2 linked regions of the Astyanax mexicanus genome follow. The protein of the gene in region 2 interacts with the protein of the main gene of each other region in a pairwise test. Links are inferred from orthologs where the notes say so. Each region holds a gene or a part of one and is shown on either strand. Other genes may lie near its edges.

Region 1 (9,832 bases), on a different chromosome or scaffold from region 2:
ATCTGAAGGCTGATCTCATGCCTTCTCTTGTACATGTGCTACTTTTTAGATCTGTAGGTGCATCAGCTATCGTACGCTTGTGCTGATGAAGATCATGCTAGGAATTATGTGAGGAGAAAGCGCTATCTACCCACCAAGAGATAGTTGGGGCAGTTGATGGCGAAGCAGCATAATTCACGGTTCAAACTGGCGATCCTCTGATCATAGAGAGAGCATTGTAGTCTCCTGAACTTTTTAAACCTACTATTATCATGATTCAGTAATAATAATAGTTTATTTATTATGACAGACCTATGCATATCTGTTAAAACATGTACTTCAACTGCATTTTAAACAGACCCGCAGTGATAAATTCCACCTGAAATCTTTTGTAACCACAAATGAACAATTACAGTAAACTGACAGCTACGACTCTACTATCTATATTATGAATGATGAACATGCTTATATAAAAAAAACATGCTCTATCATTTAATATTATATGGTAAGCAGAATTTTTTTATGTAGCTGTTTCACATTAGTTGATGGCTACTTATTCGAACCACAATTTTTACCACAAAAGCATTTAAAATAGGATATGGACGGATACAAGGGGAAAGTGATTGATAAAATAATATACTCAGTAACATAACAGTACTAAACTCAGAAGTTGCACAGCAAAATCTGTATTTACTCAAAATCAAAGAAGTATTCCTTCATATTGGATTAACGGGAGAGGTAAAGAAATTATACACAGATCCATCAGTGAACATTCATAATTACAATTTAAACTGTTACTGTGTTTTACTAATATACACAATATATAGCACTTCCACAAGAACATACTTTAATTAGAAATTGCTGTCCAAATCAATGTGTGAGCTCTGTACACCGAAATGTAAAGTTTTTTTTGCCGAAAGCAAAACTCAGAATGTGTTGATGACCAACAGTATTTCCTAGTGATGGCCAAGGGTTGATTTCCATAATAAATGTTCTCATCATGCCTCTTTGTGTATTTCATTTTAACCTTTTATCTAGAGTGCTATGTTCAAACAGGAAGTAAAAGTGGCCCAAATCCAATCTAGAATTTCATTTGTGATGCACATTATCTGCACATAAGAGGCATGGGCCTGCTTTTCTCTGTGAAGCTGCTTTGTGACAACCTTTACAAACTAAAATTGAATTGATTTGAATCTGTAGGGCAGTGTGAACTAGGGGTGAGACACAGGGAGTCTGTGATACTCGATATATATCACAAGACAATTATATACAACTGGAGAGGATACCATACTCCTAAATAAGCAAATACCAGGAATTATAAATTTACTGGTGTCTGCTTTACTAAATTTGACAACCGAAATGAAACAATGTGCAACAAAAGTGCACAGCTCAGCATGCTTGTGTTAAATGGTATTAAAATAGCCATAATCTGACATAAATAAGAACAGTTCTGTTTCAGTTTAAATGTCTAAACAGAACACAGTTATGTGATATTAACATCTTTTCGACCAGTTTTTTATTAAAAAAACATTAGATAAGGTCCATTTTCCGGTTGCATGAATGTCACTTTTGATGAATAAAGCATTAGGAAGCTTGCCTCGCTAGAGAATTAAACCCCAACTTGCTGTGGGGAAAGTAATGTTTTAATCGACCAAACTACAGCATTTTTTCCACCCTTTGTATTATAAGTTGTGAGTGAACACAACACATCAGGACTCAATTTTAATTTTCATTTAATAAGTGCAAAAGTATTACAAACCATATTTTCTTGCATTAACTGCAGGATTTTGGTGAAGACATCCCACAGTGAAGTTATAACAGCCGCCATGAACACTTAAATATAAAGAGGAATCATGAGGAACCATATTTACCTCTTGGTAAAAGTGTGGCATGTGCTAAAATCAAAAAGCAATGTTTAAGAAACAGGATTGTGGTGGTTATGCTAAAGACCACAATCAAATAATTTTCTTAATAATGTCCAAAAATAAAGTCAGAATTTGTGAATTCAAACATCAAGTGACAAATAACAAAACAACAAATCTCCAAAATGTTGCCTAAATTAATACTTACACAGTAGGCACTGTAGTTAGATGGTATTATGTGTTGGCCTGGCTTCATACCTCTAAACACTTAAACTACAAAGACGTTTAAACAAAAAAAAAACATAGCAAATCATAACTTAATCATTTATCCCACTCCATCCACCATATTAAAAGGTGTTGTGGGCTTCTAACAGCATGTAAAATGGTCAGTCAAATGGCTCTGTCCTTCACCTCTGTTACACTCTGTTCTAAAGACTCCCCCACCACCCTCAGCTCTTCTCTTCTCCGTACGAGATCAGAACGTGCCTCCTGAAGCCGCTCGTTCAGCTCGAGGAACCGCCGGCTCTGCAGGTACCTGACCTCCACGTCACTGCTGGTCGATCCACTGCGGACGTCTGAAAGATATACATTATATGAAAAATGTCATGAGAAATGTTGTTAAATTTTTAAGCTCTTAACAAAAATCTTCTCTACTAAATTTGCTATCAAAACAAATGCTTCTGACTTTAATCTTAAATCAGGGTATCTGCAGGAATGTTTTTTTATGAACTTGTATTCAATCTATTTTTTTTTTAATAAGACTGAATACAATCTTTAGCCTCATCTGGAATTAGGTCTGTGTGATATGACGAAATACTTCGTTATGACGACAGAAAAACCTCTATCATTACTCTTATCGTCTATATCGTTGCACAAAACAACGGCCTGTTTGTTGCCTGGGGAATGCGGAAAAGTGAGCGCTTCTTTCTCTCTCGTCTTTCTTTTGCTCTCTCTTTTTCTTTCTCTTTCTTGCTCTATTTCTTTCTCGCTTACTCTTTTTTGCTCTCTCTTTCTCTTTTTGCCCACTCTTTCTCTCTCTCTCGTTCTTTCTTTCTCTCACACACAGCATTGAACTAACGTTACATGTTAAAGCAGGATGAGTTTCGGGGCAAAATTCGCTTTAAATTCGTTTTTTTTAGGCTAAACTAGTGTTAAAGTGTTAAAGTGTTGAGATGGAAATTAGAACACTAAGTTACTCATCACATGTTTAAATTGTACAGTCCCTCTACGAACTTCATATAAAACAGTGTTTATTAGTCCTGACACTGACATAAAAAGTGAAAAGTATGTTACTACTTTATTTAACGTTATATTTTATGTTTAATTAATAACTTGCACAGAGTTTCTTAATAAAATGGGAAATATTATACAATATGGAGACATATTTTTACTTGTTGAGTGTGAGTCAATATTTAATAAGAAATGGGTCTATCGTGTGGTACGTTTATAAAAAAAATATCGCTGAATTTATAGAAAATGTGCTATTTCGTTATCTATATCGTTATTGGGGTATAACGTTACATTTCTGGTCCTATCTCACAGCCCATGTAACATGTCGTTAAACACTTATCTAGGTTTTAAGTGAGTGGTCTTATTCCCTACAGGATCACCTTCAGTGGACTGTTCCTGCAGTATGCTGAAGACCGGGTCGTTGGGGTAGGCTCGGTTTATGTCATCTATGATCTGCTCCACTGAAGGCGGGTCAGGTCTGGTCGGGAGAACCATCCTCTTCTTGCCTTTAGAGCCCAGATTCATCCTGTTCTCCTGCAGGTGCAGCTCCACACACTCCGGCTGCTCGCTGTAGCTCTGGGGGCTAACGCTGCTTTACCTCAGCTTTAAGCGGGAGGACGCATTAATCCCCCCAGTGATTAAGAGACATTAAGAAACATGTACAGAAACTCTTGTCATAAATGAAGCTCCTCTGTAGAAAAATAACTAACGCTAACTCACTGATACTGACAGCCAACGAGGCTGTGAAACGTTGCTTGTTGTCGTCATACTTCTTCAGATTTGCTCTGTGGTAAACATTTCACATTTCTAACGCACACTGCCACCTACTGACCCGGAGACAGACCTACACTCAGACTGCAGCAGAGAATCCCTACAGAGGAGAAAACTTTTACCCAAGTTATATTTATATTAATAAATACTACCATTTAAATATTTCGTAGACCAGGTATTTTAAAAATATAGTATAAAATCGTTTTGATATATATTGGTATAAAAAATTGTGGGCACCCCTAAAAATTCTTATGATTTTCCAATAATTTTGTGTATTGTTGCATTTAAAACAGATTGAGGCATGTTGCCCAATAAAATAAAATAAAAAGAATCATGTTATGAGTTATTTTACTACTTAGGGATGATTTGTGAAATAAAAATGTTAGAGAAAATCTAAAATGTGACAAAACTGGATTAAAATGTATATTTAAAATAGCATGACATGGCTAAAAATAAAATAACCACACACAAAACATCCCCTCAGAATGTTAAATACAAAACAAATTTATTGAAAATCAGTTAAAGTTGTGGACTTTTGTTAAAGTTACAAAAAATATTAATAATTAAACAAAATGATGACATTTAATACCAATATAAAAAAATAATAGTAACACACTATACTTCAGAATGTTAGTTGTATTGTGTTCTATTATGTGGTCTGTACCTAAAAGGAGAGGAATGTTTGGCTGATCTGATATACTAGGAAAAGGTGTACACATTAAAATAGGACATTTTATAGAAAATATCCTGTCCAGCAGAGTTGAAGACTTCCATTGCATTAAAGCACATTTTTGAAGTGAAAACAGTACAGCTAAAACTGAAACAGTTATTATTGTTATCCACAGTTATTCTAATTCTACAGTATTCGGATACTACCTTAAATAATACAGGATTGAAATGAAACACTGAGTTGTCACCAATCTATTTGTATTTTACATAATGTATCTTACATAACACAACATATTCAATCCCATTGTGTATAAGTCCTGGTGGTTGATTTGCATCTAAGAGGTCATGAGTTCACCTGAGAGGATGCAGTTACCTGCAAAGCTGTAAATCAAAAAAGCAAATGTTATGTTTAATCAAATACACTGAAGTGCAAAATAGGTGGAAAATGAAGTGCTTAAGTAGGCTACTTACATTTTAGTCTACAGTGGGTTCATTCTAAACACCAATGTATAGACATAAAAAAGGAGAAAAAAAGAGAGAAAAGTGAAAACAGAGAAAATGAATAGGATTAAATAGGACATGGTGAACAATGATAGGTTTCGATATCTTTTTTATATTTTTTTATGATTGGGTTTAATCTGAGTGTGGGAAACATGTTCCAATAAATAGTCTGGCAAAACTCAGCTGTCTATCACAGTGGTTATAATCTACAGTGGTGTGAAAAGGTGTTTGCCCCCTTACTGATTTCCTGATTTTTTGCATGTTTGTGACACTTAAATGTTTCAGAACATCAAACCTTTTTAAATATTAGTCAAAAAACAACATGGCCCTGTGTGAAAAAGTGATTGCCCCCTTGTTAAAACATTCCTGTGTTTTCTAACACCTGAGTACACTGTCTCTAGCCACACCCAGGCCTGATTATTGCCACACATGTTCTCAATCAAGACATCACTTGACCTGCCTGACAAAGTGAAGTCCACCAAAAGATCCTTAAAATCTACACATCATGCCGAGATCCAAAGGAATTCATGAACAATTGAGAAAGAAGGTAATTAAGATATATCAGTCTGGAAAGGGTTATAAAGCCATTTCCAACACGCTGGGAATCCAGCGAACCACAGTGAGAGCCATTGTCCAAAAATGGCAAAGACATGGAACAGTGGTGAACCTTACCAGGAGTGGCCGCCCGCCCAAAATTACCACAAGAGCGCAGCGACAGTGTGTGTGTGTGGGAGCACTACTGGTTGTACTGTCTGACAGCAGCAGAAAGGAAGAAAGACCTGCAGTAACAGTCCTTCACACATTTGGTGAGAAGCACAAAGTGTGACTGACACTGAAGGAGCTCTCTCTCCAGTGCTGGTAGTGTTTCTCATGGGGTGGGTGTTGCTGACCCTCATGGATGACAGTTTAGACATCATCCTCCACCATAACACCACCGCCACAGCGTCGAGGGTTTACTTCCTGATCAGTTCATAGAATTTCTTCCTGTCTGCCCCAGCAGACCACACCATTCATTTTAGAGCTTAGGCTTTATTTCTTTCAGTACTAATATCCCTTTTTACAGATAAGAGTGTCAGATCAGATCATAAACCACATAAGAAAGACTGCTGAATGTTAAGTATTTAAGAGATGGAATTTTGCACACTGCTAACTTGTGAATTACTGGTGAACCACATTCTATGCAAACAAATAATACTATATTGTAGAATTACGAAGGTTACATACACGAGATGTACTGGGAAGCTGTTTGGATGTATCCATTCTCTCAGATAAGGGAATCCTGTTTTTCGCCAGACTCTGAATAACTGACAAAGACAAGGTGACAAAGTCATAGTTAACATTAGTCAGACATGTAAAACCCTTTAGTTTCAGCATTGCTTTAAACATGTTTTGTCATCTTGCATTGTGCTGTGTTAAACTCTGCTTATTTATTTACACTGCCACAGCCTATTTTCCCACATGTGCTCATTGAGAAATCCAAGAACACTTACTGACTAATTAAATCAAGCACAGAGTAAGAATTACTGTATTTTTTGCACTATAAGACACACATAAAAACTTTTAATTTTCCCAAAAATCGTTAAACAGGAGTTTCAGTTTCAGCACCGGGGCTGGAGTAGTATTAGCATTAGCTGCTAACCACGCTATGCATTCTTTCACGGTTCAGAGGTGAGTATTTTCAGCCTGTAGCCTGCTGCTATCCCCAGCAAGAACTGCTAAAGCAGAATTAGCATTAGCCTTTAACCACGCTAGAGCTTTTGTTGTTCAGGGGTGAGTATATCAGACTGTAGCCTGCTGCTAACCCAAGCTAGCACTGCTGGATTAGCATTAGCTGCTAACCACGCTAAGCGCTAGCTCTTTTGCCATTCAGAGTTGAGCACTGGACTGAAATCTGCATGTTTACTGTGTAAACAAACAAGCTACATTGGACAAACCACTAGCTAATATCACCCTGCCTTACGGGAACACTCAGAGTTCCTCAGTGTAGCGCTGTCAGGCAGTATTTACTAGCGCTAACCATAGACTTCATGGAAATCTGGAAATCTAAGCTTACTGTAAACAGAAAACGCTTTACTCATCCAAATAAACAGTTTTCAGGAAAGAAATCTGTGTAGATTATCATCCAGCACATATTTGACTTTTTTTTATTACAGTTTACAGTTTGTTTACTTAGCTTAGCTTTACTTAACTTAGTTATCCCCCACCACCACCCACCACCTGCTGAATTAGAAGGAAAACATGGCGACACTCCTGTTTCTTTACTAGTATTACATAATGCACCTTATAATCTGGTGTGCTTTATGTATGAAAATAGACATACATGGATAGTGTGCCTTATAGTGCGAAAAATACTGAGCTATAATCCAGCTCTTTATCTGAGTTCCTGACCAGATTTTTAGACCTTTCTTCAATGTAAGAAATCAGATTGTGCTGTTTACATCTCTCCATTAACCGCATTAATCCGATTATGAGTGGATTTTTTCATATAAACGCTCTTACTGACCAAGATTTAAGAATCTGCGATAGGATTCATAACATAATCTATGGTATATTAGAAAGAGAAGCTTTAAGGGAATGCAATTCTTCACAAAAATAATTATTAAAGTTTACTGTTCATTTTTTATCAAATTAACTATCATATGTTCACCTACCCTCTCTTGTGACAGACTCTGCAGCGTTCATGGCCTTCCCACTAAGGTCGCTGACCATGTTGTCCACAGTCGCCTCATGCTTGAGGAAAAATGGCCGTACTAAGTGATTATACAGCACCTGAGAGCCATTCCAGGAGAAGGGGGCCATGCACCACAACAAGAACAGGCACTAGAAACACCAAAAGACAAGATGCATGATTAGTTGGAGGGATAAAATGTGTTATGTGATTATTGTAGGTATTAAAGGGTTTGCATGTGATGGTCACTGTCCTCTAAGTGGCAAAAAGACATACCTTGAATACATAGTAAAAAGGAAACCAGTAGAGAAAGATGTCAGAGAAGAATTCACCCACACCAAAGAATCCATACACCACCCAGTACGTGAGCCACTGTGTATCGTCTTCCTTATTGGGACTCTCAATAGCCTTTATTCTATAATAAAGATTTAATACACAATATAACTATGCAGTAATACGTTTCTTAAATGTAGGAAATTATTCAGAACAAGTATTATAATAAGAGTTAAATACACTTACGAGAAATATGCAGGATAAACAAAACCAATCAAGTTGCAGAGCAGGGAGGCTCCATACCCAAACAACAGATACAGTCCAGTAACAGAAACAGCTCCTGTAAAGATGAGAGGAAGAGTATAATGTGAAGTCAGATTTATAAATGTGAAATGAAGCATTTTTAGTTTCTATAAGACTTAGAGTACAGTGTTACTTGTTTAAACTCCCCTTTTTAAAAAAGAATCCAATATTTTTCAAAAGTAGTTTTATCCTATTCTTAAAACAATTCCAATATTTTAAAAAAATAGTTTTAACCCATTCTCAAAAAAAAAAATGTATTTTTTAAGTAGTTTAAACCCATTCTCAAAAAGATTCAAATCTTTTTTTTTTTGGGATATTTTTTAAACTATATGAATCTTTTAAAAATAATCAGTTTTCAAAAAGATCATCGTTTACATTTTTTAAAGAAGTAGTCCAAACCCATTCCCAAAAATCTTTAAAAAAATAGTTCAAACCCATTCTCAAAAAGATTTTTTTTTTTAATAGTTCAATCCCATTCTTAAAAAGATTCAAATCTTTTTTTTAAGTTGTTCAAATACATTCTCATTTTCTCTTAAAAAGTAGTTTAAAACCATTTTTAAAAAAGATTAAAATCTATTTTTTTCTTTTTAAAGTTGTTCAAACCCATTCTCAAATATAGTCTGAATCTTTTTTTTCCAAATCAGTTTAAAAAAAAACATATCTTTTACAAATACCTTTTTAAGAGCAGTTTTTTTAGCTGATATTTTAGTACATAGTTTAACTCATTTAGAGAGGAGTAATATTGTACAAAGGGGACCCTTACTTAGGTAACTTACTGGAATTGTTTCCACCAGTGTGTTCACTGGTAATAGATGAATATATTTTCAGAATTTAATAAGCTGTTTGACAGTTTGTGAACTAGCAGCGTGTCTGTGTGTCTTTATGAATGGTCTTATCGTGCAGGAGATCTGTTAAACAGACTGAGTCACTGGGGCAGAAGGCATAAATAAAGACACGCAGAAGGCCGGTAACATCCTGATTAGTGCTGTTCCACCTGCTGCTGCTCAGAGGATTAGAGTCGCGAGCTCTGTGCTGTCTGCTGTGTTTCCTCTCAGCTTATGCCTCTCATTCCTCACCTCACTTTACCGAACACAGCGGGTCATAGCGGGTAATTTAGGACCAGTTTAACTTTCCAGTTTAAAACCAGAATGAGCCCAGCTTACCTATGGCCAGGTAGCGCTTTTTAATTCCAGTCTTTTCCTCGATTTTGTTCAAACAGTCCGTGACGATGTTCTTCTCGTTGAGAAAAGCCTCCACGCGCGTTTTTATCTTAGTGAAAATAGACAGCATTGTGAACAGAGTTAATAAAGGTTATTTTAAAGGATTAAAAGCAGTAAATATGAACGCGGACATCAGTAGTGAAGCAGGTGAGCGCTCTGCAGTTTCGCTGACATGCCAGAGCTCAATTCATCCCCCAATCGGCTTTATGAACGGGGGGAGGGGGCGGGGTCAGGCTGCAGCCGCGCGGAACTGGCAGAGCAGCGACCAATCACAGAGCAGTGCGCCTGAGCGTCACTCCCTCAGAGCCATGACGAGGATCCAGAGCCCAGACCATAATAAACACTAATCTGAGGAG
Region 2 (10,298 bases):
CAACATGACTTTACTCGAAAGCATTTTTTTCTCCTTTCATGTTGGAGATTTTTGCACTTGCAATTTAGAGTGTTCTCTAAAAATTTTTATTTTGCGTTTAGGTATATGTAGCCACCTTTTCTGTTTTTAAAGGATCTGTTTAGTAACCTTACAGAATGGAAATGTGATCTGGAGTTAGGTGCTAACTGTAGTCTATCTACAGTTGAAGACTGACTGACATAAAGAGCCCGTAAGACAATTACAGCAGTTGTACATGTTACAGCTAGATCGCGCGCTATCAAACGGAGGGATCTTTTGACATCTAATGAGTAAATCTGAAGACTTGGCAACTGTAGTGACAGATGCGAAGCTCTCCTACCAGCAGGTATGTTCTGGTGGACGTGAGGCCACCCACGTTCCAAAGTGAGAGAGGCCTTATCATCTGATGACAGAAGAATTTTTTGCAAGAGTGGTTTTTACTGCCACTCAACAGAACAGAACAGCCATCTATACACCCAGGCTCATGGTCTCCTGCTGCTACTGCAGAGGACCTGTGGGTGCAAAAAGCGTTAAAGGTCAAATGTAATGAATTACAACCACACTAAAAGCAGAAGTAGGATTAGGGTTGGGCGATATGACTAAAATAATATCACAATATTTCATGGTATTTTCGTGATAACGATACACTTAAAGACATGATAAAACAAAACTAACTGAATTTAAAAAATATTTAAAGAATACTTTACTGCAACAAAATGTGAATAAAATTTTATTATTGAATGCAATATGATATGGCAAACCCCTAGCTGAGATATTAAAAAAATAGATTTGTAACAGAAATCAATGGTCCAGAATGTCATGATACTAAAAAAATGCACTCCATATATCTCCATATATCCAGGATTAAAGTAAAATAAATTATATTGGACTGATCTAATCTGTCTCTAGTAGATATATAATGGGAAATGAGAATAGCGTAAATGTTTCTTTTGCTAAAACCAGCAAAAAAGTAGTTTCCTGATAAAATATTAGGGGTGGGTGATATGGCACGATATTTCAGGGTAAAATATCCTTCACGATATTAAAAAATGTTGACAATATTATTGCGTACGATACGATATGGCACATCATTAAGTAGGATCATCATTTCCACATTAAAAAAAACTAAAACTTTTACAGGTAATGGGTTAGCTTATTAAGCATGTCACTACAGGGTTTTTTGTGTAAAGGGATAAATTGACTTAAATTTTGAGCATGATTTTTCATTGTGCGCTTACTTAAATGATTAATACAGTAGCAGTACTGTAACATAGAGAATTTTCTCTACCTTCTCCACCCCCAAATAGCTTGCAGTAAACAGCCCTGCTTCTCCAATTCATATTTTCCTATCCGCCATCGTCACTCATTCTCACTCATGAACTCACACAGGGAGGAGAAGAGCGTCAGGTCAACGCCATCGTTCTGCAGCGGCTGCAGTACAACAGACTCATTATTCATGGCCTTGACAGTTTTATGGTGCAAACATGTGAGTGAGGGGGATGTTGTAAGTGCCTCAAGGGCATCGAGATGGATCTGAAAAGAAGACAAGCACTCAGAACACACCACACCCATCCTCCCTCCCTCCCTGTGTCCGTCACACTGACTGCCCATTTTCGAGCAAGTTAAAGCTGAGGTTGGGTTTTAAAAAATAAAGCACATTTTTGTTCACGAAGTGGAGACAGGGAGGATGTGTTTTTTTAAAGCCCCTTTTACACATGCACAGTTACCCAGAACTGTCCGGATCAGTCATACCATAGTCTTTATCCTCTCAGTCCCTTAGACTAAATCTGGGTAATGTCCGAGGGAGCCCATGTGTGAACAGAATAGATCATTTTCAGGAGAATTCACATTCTGTCATTTTTTTCTTTGCATCCTGATCTTGGCTTTTGCTGCATGCATGAATGTGACTTGATTCTCCTGACATTTTCCTGAAATCATATGTACATACAGCTTATGTGGCCTCTGAAATTTCATGACTTTGTCTATGGACAAAAATCAAGATGTTGGTCAATCAATGTGGCAATCAATGTTTTAATCAGTACTGCACATTCTTGTAAATTTTTCTATATAACAAAATGCTATACAGTGTCGGAAAATACATAAACAATTCAAGATTCGGGATTTGCACTGTGCTTATTCTCTGCCTAAGCTTCTAATATTGTCTTAACTAAATTAAAATTGTAGTTCCAGTGCAAAAAAACAAAAATGCACGCACAAAAAACAGATGGACAGCACGAATAAAATATTTAATTGTAGTGCAGCATAACAATCAGTTAACTAATGTTGTTTGTTAACATTGTGCTAACCTTGAATCAGCATAGTGGTGCACAAGAGAGCTCCCTCCAGAAAGAGTACCATTGCCACTGGTCATGTTCATGGATTGGGAAAACAGATCAAAAGCTTATACCAGGCGCACACTTCATGACTTTTTTTAGTCGTTAGTCATAAAAGAACTGAGAGGCCATGCAGGAGGTGATGAAGAAGAAGAAGGCTGTTTTTATTTTATTTTATTATGTTTACTTTTAAGTTACTTTATTTCAGTCCTTAGTTAATTCAACCACAAAACAAACACACCTTTCTATTCATTGCTTTTTTTTTTTTAGAAGTTCTGCACCTTATATTCATGCACACATTCATGCACTTTGCCAAACGTTTTTTTTTTAATCCCCACAAATGGTGTTCAACCAAAAACAGTGGTTAGTTTAACAAGACTAGTGTTTGCTGGGTTGTGGGTTAGCAAACTGTTGCTATGATTGCTGCTGCTAAGCAACCAGTTCAAAACATTCACAAATGGGACAAAATACTGGTCACAATACTGACATAATGTGACCAGTACTGCTATTGAGCAGTGTGTTTCCTATTTACTGAGCCAGTATGGATGTTCAGTAGATACCCAGTTCCCACCACAGCCATTCAACAAATCACCCCCTTAGTCTGAGTACGAGTTACATAATGAGATCGATGATGCACCATGTTAGGGCTGGTTCTGTTGTGGAATTAAACAGAGGGAACAGCATGGTGGGACAGCTTATGGATGGCTCTACAGCTGTTGCTCCAGCCTAGGTTTACTTTGGCAAGCTCACTGTAAGCCAAACATCCTCCAGGACAGGTCCATCGTGCCATCCAAAGCAAGCACAGGCCTGCAAGATGGACACTGGGCACCCTTAAAGGTGTTAAGCAACCTAGTCTAATGAGCAGACAGATGGCAAAGAGGAACACACACAAAGGTGTGCAGAAAATACATACACTAGAGCATCAGCAAACAGAAGTAAAAACACCAGCCAAAAAGATTTCATTAGGCAATGGTAAACACACATTTTTAAAACATGTTATACTCTAGTAAACTCTAGTTAGTGGTGGAGAGCTAAATGAAGGGTGTTAGGTAACGTTATATGTTATGCATGCATCCTCTGGCCTTTTTGAATAGTACACTGGCTTTCTTAATGTTCATTGTGACCCCTGGTTTCTATTTACACTATAGCAAAGAAACAGATTTCTTAACAACTAAATTATACAAAAATGTCAGAGAATAAACATTACAAAATTACCTGAACAGTGTCTCCACTGTATATACTAGTGCAGTCAAAAAAATGTTATATCATTAAAGTTAGTTTATTTCAGTAATTTGGTTTAAAATGTGAAACATATATATTATTTAGATGTATTACACACAGAGTGATCTATTTTAAGTGTTTATTTTTTTATTGTTTGTTATTATGGATTACAGCCATAGTATCTGTCCAAGCTGCCTGAGGTCTAGGGTGAAGTTTCCACAAGCAGTGATGGTTTGGAAAACAAATAAAAGTTATGCTAAGTTACTTTAGCTAATGCTATTATCCTAGACCTGTACAGCCTGCATATTTCACCTGGAAAACATCCTGTTTGTGAAGAAGAAGTAAGCTGAATACACTGGTATAATACACTTTATTTAATTTAATTTAGCTGCCACAGAGTGTTAAAATTAACTTGAACCAGTTGTTTATCAATTCTCCCTGTCAGCATTCTATGTTGCTACAATATTGATGATTATCTGCTAAGGGAGAGTACGAAGAAAAAGAAGAAAAAGTTCTGATTTTTAAATGCCGGGTCCTAGACCACCTGAAAGCAATTTCAGATCTTCTGCTGGACCCCCCACAGTTTGTGTATAGAGCAAACAGGTCTGTCCATGACGCAATAAATTTGGCATTGCACTCCATGTTACAGCATCTCCACAGTTCAGGGATCTACGCTAGAGTTTTGTTTGTGGACAGCTCAGCTTTTAACACCATTGTGCCAGAGCATCTGCAGGTCAAGCAGTGCGAGCTGTCAGTGCCAAATCCCATCTGCCAATGGATCATGGATTTCCTGACCAACAGGAGGCAGCATATGGGTTAGGAAAACACGTTGGACATCTGGACTCTCTGTATTGGAGTACTACAAGCCTGTGCTTTCCCCCCTGCTCTTCAGGCTCTGCATCTCCAAAGATTCATCTGTGAAGAATCTGACGTTTGAGGACACCACCACTATGGTCAGCCTCATAACCAGCAGTAATGAGTCTGCCTACAGAGAGGAAGTTGAGCAGCTGGTGCCCTGGTGCGGCAGCAACCACCTGCTGCCGAAGACACAAAAGACTGTAGAGATGACTGTAGACCAGACTTTAGACCCACCCCCACAGACACCCATGGTGCTGAGGTTTCCACTCTGGAGTCACTCCAGTTTCTGGTCATCATTATATCCATCATATTCAGAAACTGCAGCAGTGGATGTTCTTCCTAAAGCAGCTGAAGTAATTAAACCTGCCTTCAGGCCATGCCAGTGAGGATCCACTTTTACACAGTGATCATCACATCCATCCTCACATCATTCGTTGTCTCCCTCACAAGAATGAATCAAACTCCTGTGGATAATCAGCACAGCAGATTGGATCACTGGATGTACCAACACTTCAGTGCGTATATAGCAGTATGGTCGCAAAGCGTGCTGGAAAGATTATATCTGACCCCTCTCACCCCAGCCATCATCCTTTCCATCCACTTCCCTCAAGAAGAAGACCCAAGACTACTTAGACATGCTAACATCTGTTTTTCCTTAGGTCATCTCAAATCATCTCATGTTAGCTTTGAGCTTTTTTAGCCTAATTTTCATATTATTCTGAAGTAACAACTGTATTCAGCCTTAAAAGACCTTTACTAGTGGTTTAAACTCTTTAAATTATTTAAACCATTAACAGAGCTGACAGAGTCACTTTTGTGCCTTAATTCCATGTGCTACCCTCCACAAGAAGCATCTAAAAACTGCCAGAGGACATGACATCACATATTTTTGATCAGATTTTCTATTATATTTTTTTTTATCAGAAGTAACAGAGTAACAGACCATAACACTGGAAATTACATAAAATATTTTTAACTGTAAAAATTATACATACATACAGTACCACCAGTCAAAAGTTTGAACACACCCTAATTTCAGTGGTTTTGATTATTTTTTTTTTTTAAATCTGCATTGTAGCTTAATACTGAAGTCTTTCAAACTGTGAAGAAACGTATGGAATTAATCATTAAACACAAAAAATGTTAAACATACCAGAATATGTTTTATATTTTAGAAACAGGCACCTGGAATGACTTTCAGTATTTCTTGACAGCTGTGCTGAGATAATCAAGAGATAATTACTTGAATTTCTAGCACTTTTAATGTGTTTGAGACCACCATCAGTTGTAAAGTTGTGAAGAGGTAGAGTTGATATACAGTAGTATACATACCCTATTTAAGTAAAACATAGTATTGCAAGAACTACTCAACTAATTAAAGAAAACAAATACTTTAAGAAATGAAGGTCAGTCAATCTGAATACATTTTAAAGAACACATTATCCTCAAGTGCAATCGCAAAGACCATAAAAAACGTCATGATGAAACTGGCTCTCATCAGGACCGCCCTAGGAAAGGAATATCTGAAGTTACCTGTTGCACAGGATAAATTAATCAGATTTTCAGCCTCAGAAACTGCAAATTATCATCACCCCGATAAACCCTACAGCACTTTATGCTTCCCTCTGCTGACAACTCATGGAGATGCAAATTTTATTTTCAAGCAGGACTTGGCACACTGCCGAAAGAACTAATTGGTTTTAGATAATAGTCTAACTTTCTGAGAAACTGATTTTTGAGTTTTCATTAGCTGTAAGTCATAATCATGAACAAAAAAACGCTTAAAATAAATCTATGTATTATATAATTTTCACAATTTTTTGTAAATTTGCATGATATTTAATTTTTTTGAAATGCACTAGTACTGTATGTAGCATGCTTGAGAAAATAAAGGGACTCTTATTCTATAATGTAAATGCTTTCCCGCGCTCTCTCCAGTAGAGGGCGCGCGCGAGAGCGTTTGCTGCTGATGACGTGGGCAGGCTGAGGGAGAAACATGGCGGCGGCCGCTGTGGAGCAGGATAATAACAGTATGAATGGTGAAGATAGCGGTGTGAATAAAAGCGAGCCCGGATCCAGCTGTGCTGAGGGGGTCGGGGGCTGTGTGGAGCAGCATGTGGCGGAGCTGCTGCAGAGGGAGATTGGAGGAGACCTGAAGTCTCTGAGGAAAGTTGGGGGGCTTCTGGAGAAACTGACAGCAGAGAACATGTTACTGGAGGAGCAGGTAAACCAGCCCTGCATCAGCTCTACTGACTGACCTCTCTCTTACCTCAACTGTTTAAAAAGCATTAAAGTGTGTATGTGTGTGTGTGTGTGTGTGTGTGTGTGTGTGTGTGTGTGTGTGTGTGTGTGTGAGAGAGAGAGAGAGAGTTCACTATATTCAGAAATACAGTACAGTCCACTGTGTGTTTGATTTATTTGGATATCTTAAACTGCCTAGACATGTGTGTGTGTGTGTGTGTTTGTGTGTGTGTGTGTGTGCAAATATTTTCATTTACAAATAAATCACTATCTAATAAAAGGTGCTATTTTTTTTTAGACAGATGGTTTTATATACTAAGCAGTGTGAGCAATGTGTTTTCATGATATGTCTAGTTCAACCTTATAGACATAACGTCTCCGCTGACTGGCTGACCTTTTTATTCCTGCAGGTGTTGACTGTATCCAGCTCAGTGCCTCTGCGTGTATCTGCTGCTCTGTCTGCAGCAGAGGAGGCCCGGACGAAGCTGGAGGTCCTGCTCCAGAAGGAGAGGCTCCTGTCCAACACGCTGCAGCAGCATCTGCAGGGAGCTCAGAGCTGGGCCGACAGCCTAGGACAAACACTTGGACAGCTGGACACGCTGGAAAGGCACATGAAGTACCTTCAGTGCTTGGCTCGCATTGAGGAGCTTAGGTGAGCAATACAGCAAAATTAACACTTGTAATTATTGATCCAGTCATGATTGATCAAGATAGTGGTGAGAGAAAAGGCTGTGGACCCAGTAAGTTTTTATCCATCCATTCATCAATCAAAAAACCTATCCACGTATGTATAGAGAGCATTCCTATGCATTCTGGAAAACCTGGAAATTTAGAAACAATAAAAAATGAGAAAATCTTACCTGTAAGTATTAGTAAGAGCCTAGAAAAGTCAAATTGTTGAATCACAGCAATAAAACCAATTCATGCTAAGAGCCTTTTGAATATTTTTACGTGCAATCCGTTAGAGACTTTCTAGAAATAGCCTCAAACATATATATCCCTGATAGATGGATCTTTGCATGGATAAAAGCCTGAATGGCTGCGTCTGTAAATGGATGAATGGATGGATTTATTGATCTATGGATGAATGGATGGATTCATAGATGGCTTGCATGAGGAAAAAAATGTCTTGCTTTTTTCTCCAAGAAGGGAGTAATGAGAGGGTGTGCTCTGCAGCCCAATATCCTTTTTATCTATTTATCCATCTATCATATCAATCATATATACTGTAGAGATGCATACATACATATCCAGGGAGTGTACATTCTAGACATTTACCTCTCTTTTTTGTGATTTGTGATTTGTCATGGCTGCTCTATGTTTTGAACAGTGACAGTATTCAGCAGTTCCTGATGACTAACAGTGTTTGGGAGGCAATTGGAGCTGTGGGCAATATGGCCACTCTAGACATGGGCCTTCAAGAGTCGGGCTGCTCACATCTACAAGCATTCCTTCGAGAAACATTGCACTTCTGGCACAAGATCCTGAAAGACAAGCTTGCAAGGTATTGCCAATGTTTTATATAATATTATAATTACATTCAGAGTTTTGAAGTTAGCAAATATATTCTTAATGTTTTTACTTTGTTAAACCCCATGTCAGGGACTAAACATGCCCTTTTAATGTCAATGTTATAAATTATAAAATCTGTTCCAAAATCTGAGAGCAGGCTGGCTAATGGTAATTGATTTGGGTTTGCTGTTATTGTTGGGATAATATTAAATAAAATTGACTGCTATTCAAAGAAATTGTTGATGAAATTTGTCATGTTTGTTTTTCTTAATCTCAGTGACTTTGAGGAGGTGCTGACACAGCTACACTGGCCGATAGTCTCTCCCCCGACCCAGTCCCTCTCTCCTCCAGCTAATGCACAGGAGCTCAACAGCCAGCTGGAGCTCCTGGTGTCTCAGCTCCTCTCCCTGCAGATGTCGTATCCTTTGTGTCACAGAGACACACATAAACGTACATCTACACTAACCATTGTGCTACGGTCAGCAGCTCACACACAGTTCTTCTTTTATTAGCAATGCAGCCCTTTGTTTTAGGCAGACAATAAGACAGTGTATTTTTTATCATGTGATAAATGGATCTTATTATGCAACAAAATTAGGCAACAAAATATTCACAACATAATATGCATGAAACTGAATGGAAAAATCTTTGCACTTGACTCCTGTCCCAGTGACGATCTTATATCTGAGAAAAAGGAATTGCCCACTCGTCCAGGCTTACCACAGACCCCACCACTCTCGCTGCCTATTCAGATCATGCTACTGCCCCTCAGCAAGAGGTTTAGGTATCATTTCACTGGGAACCGCCAGACCAACTCACTAAACAAGGTTAGATTGTGCACATCACTATTCTCCTACAAATTATGTAACAGCCAGTCTTATTTTTAAAAAATGGAAATTATATATATTTTTTTCTGAAGTGTAAACAATGTAAAACAATGCACAATTTCTTATAAAGACTTCAGTCCCCAGCAATCAAAGGTAATTACCAAAAACAGAGGTTTAATCTTTAATAATAATTAATATTACGGGGTGCCGAAGAAGAAGCGCAAGCGACTTCTTGCAAAATCTGGACACTGTATTATTAAACTGTACTAGAGTATTAATAAGCAGTAGGTTATAAATGTAGGTTACTGTTTACATATAAAAAAAGTAAATAAATCTACTTTTTGCTTTTAATATTTCAACATTATTCTTTTTAAACTCTTAGTAATTTGCCATTTTGGTTTAAAAGAAAAAGTACACTGTTATGTTTCAGAAAAAAAAAAAATGTTTTCACTTAATTAGCCAAAATAGAGCATTTTGTTTACAATATTAAACCTCTGTTCTTGGTAATTACCTTAAATTGCAGGAGACTGAAGTATTTTTAAGGAAATATGCATTGTTTTACATTTAATTTCCTTAACATTTAATTTAATTTATATTTTTTTTATTTTAGTAAAATCGAATTGTGATCTCAGTATTGTTAATCGAATCGAATCGTAACAGAATATTTGTTACACCCTTACCAAAAACAGTAAATTATTTAATATGAATGATAAGAGCAACATTTATTTAGCCAAACATACAAAAGTAGTGTGTAACACATGTGTAACGCAACGTATCACACATCTCAGGATGAAGTTGTAGAGGTTAGTAATGGTGCCCTGTGATGATCCTTCACATGCAGCTCTAATATTCCTGCAGAAATGGGCACTTAATGGACAAATCAATACAGAAAATATACATACTGACTGTATTTTCCTCTCCATTTTAGCCAGAGTGGTATCTGACCCAAGTTCTTGTGTGGATGGGCCACAATTCCCCCTTCATGGAGGAGAAGATTCAGCCCATTCTCGATCGTGCTGGAGCCAATGTCAACGCAAAGGTGAGAAGTCAAATTTAGAACAGTTTTTAACTGACTAATTTTCGATTTGAGCCATTATACATGCATTGTCCCTTTCTATGCCCATTAGGTGGAGCTGTGCAGGGGTCTCCTTACTCTGGCTCAGGAGAAACTGACCCACGATGCCCCTCGGCTGCTGTATGACGACACCCTGTTTTGCCACCTGGTGGACGAGGTGCTGCAGTTTGAGAAGGAGCTGCGAAGCACACACGCTTACCCCAGCACTTACCC

Evidence for each region.
Region 1: the proteins of rint1 (region 2) and c16h19orf25 interact in binary tests that used the Homo sapiens proteins (3 or more experiments, as listed by UniProt). The link is inferred for Astyanax mexicanus from reciprocal best matches to the Homo sapiens genes RINT1 and C19orf25.

Annotation. Positions count from the first base shown.
Region 1 is NC_064423.1:18,737,194-18,747,025, reverse strand, and holds c16h19orf25 (UPF0449 protein C19orf25 homolog), read right to left. Parts: upstream 3,860-9,832; 5' UTR 3,597-3,859; coding exon 3,452-3,596; intron 2,417-3,451; coding exon 2,232-2,416; 3' UTR 1,696-2,231; downstream 1-1,695. Other genes in the region: reep6 (receptor expression-enhancing protein 6), read right to left, coding at 4,986-5,006, 6,237-6,316, 7,664-7,832, 7,957-8,095, 8,200-8,293, 9,420-9,546.
Region 2 is NC_064409.1:11,968,229-11,978,526, reverse strand, and holds the start of rint1 (RAD50-interacting protein 1), read left to right. Parts: upstream 1-6,379; 5' UTR 6,380-6,426; coding exon 6,427-6,654; intron 6,655-7,081; coding exon 7,082-7,323; intron 7,324-8,001; coding exon 8,002-8,175; intron 8,176-8,460; coding exon 8,461-8,601; intron 8,602-8,853; coding exon 8,854-9,010; intron 9,011-9,938; coding exon 9,939-10,049; intron 10,050-10,137; coding exon 10,138-10,298. UniProt on the Homo sapiens protein: Involved in regulation of membrane traffic between the Golgi and the endoplasmic reticulum (ER); the function is proposed to depend on its association in the NRZ complex which is believed to play a role in SNARE assembly at the ER.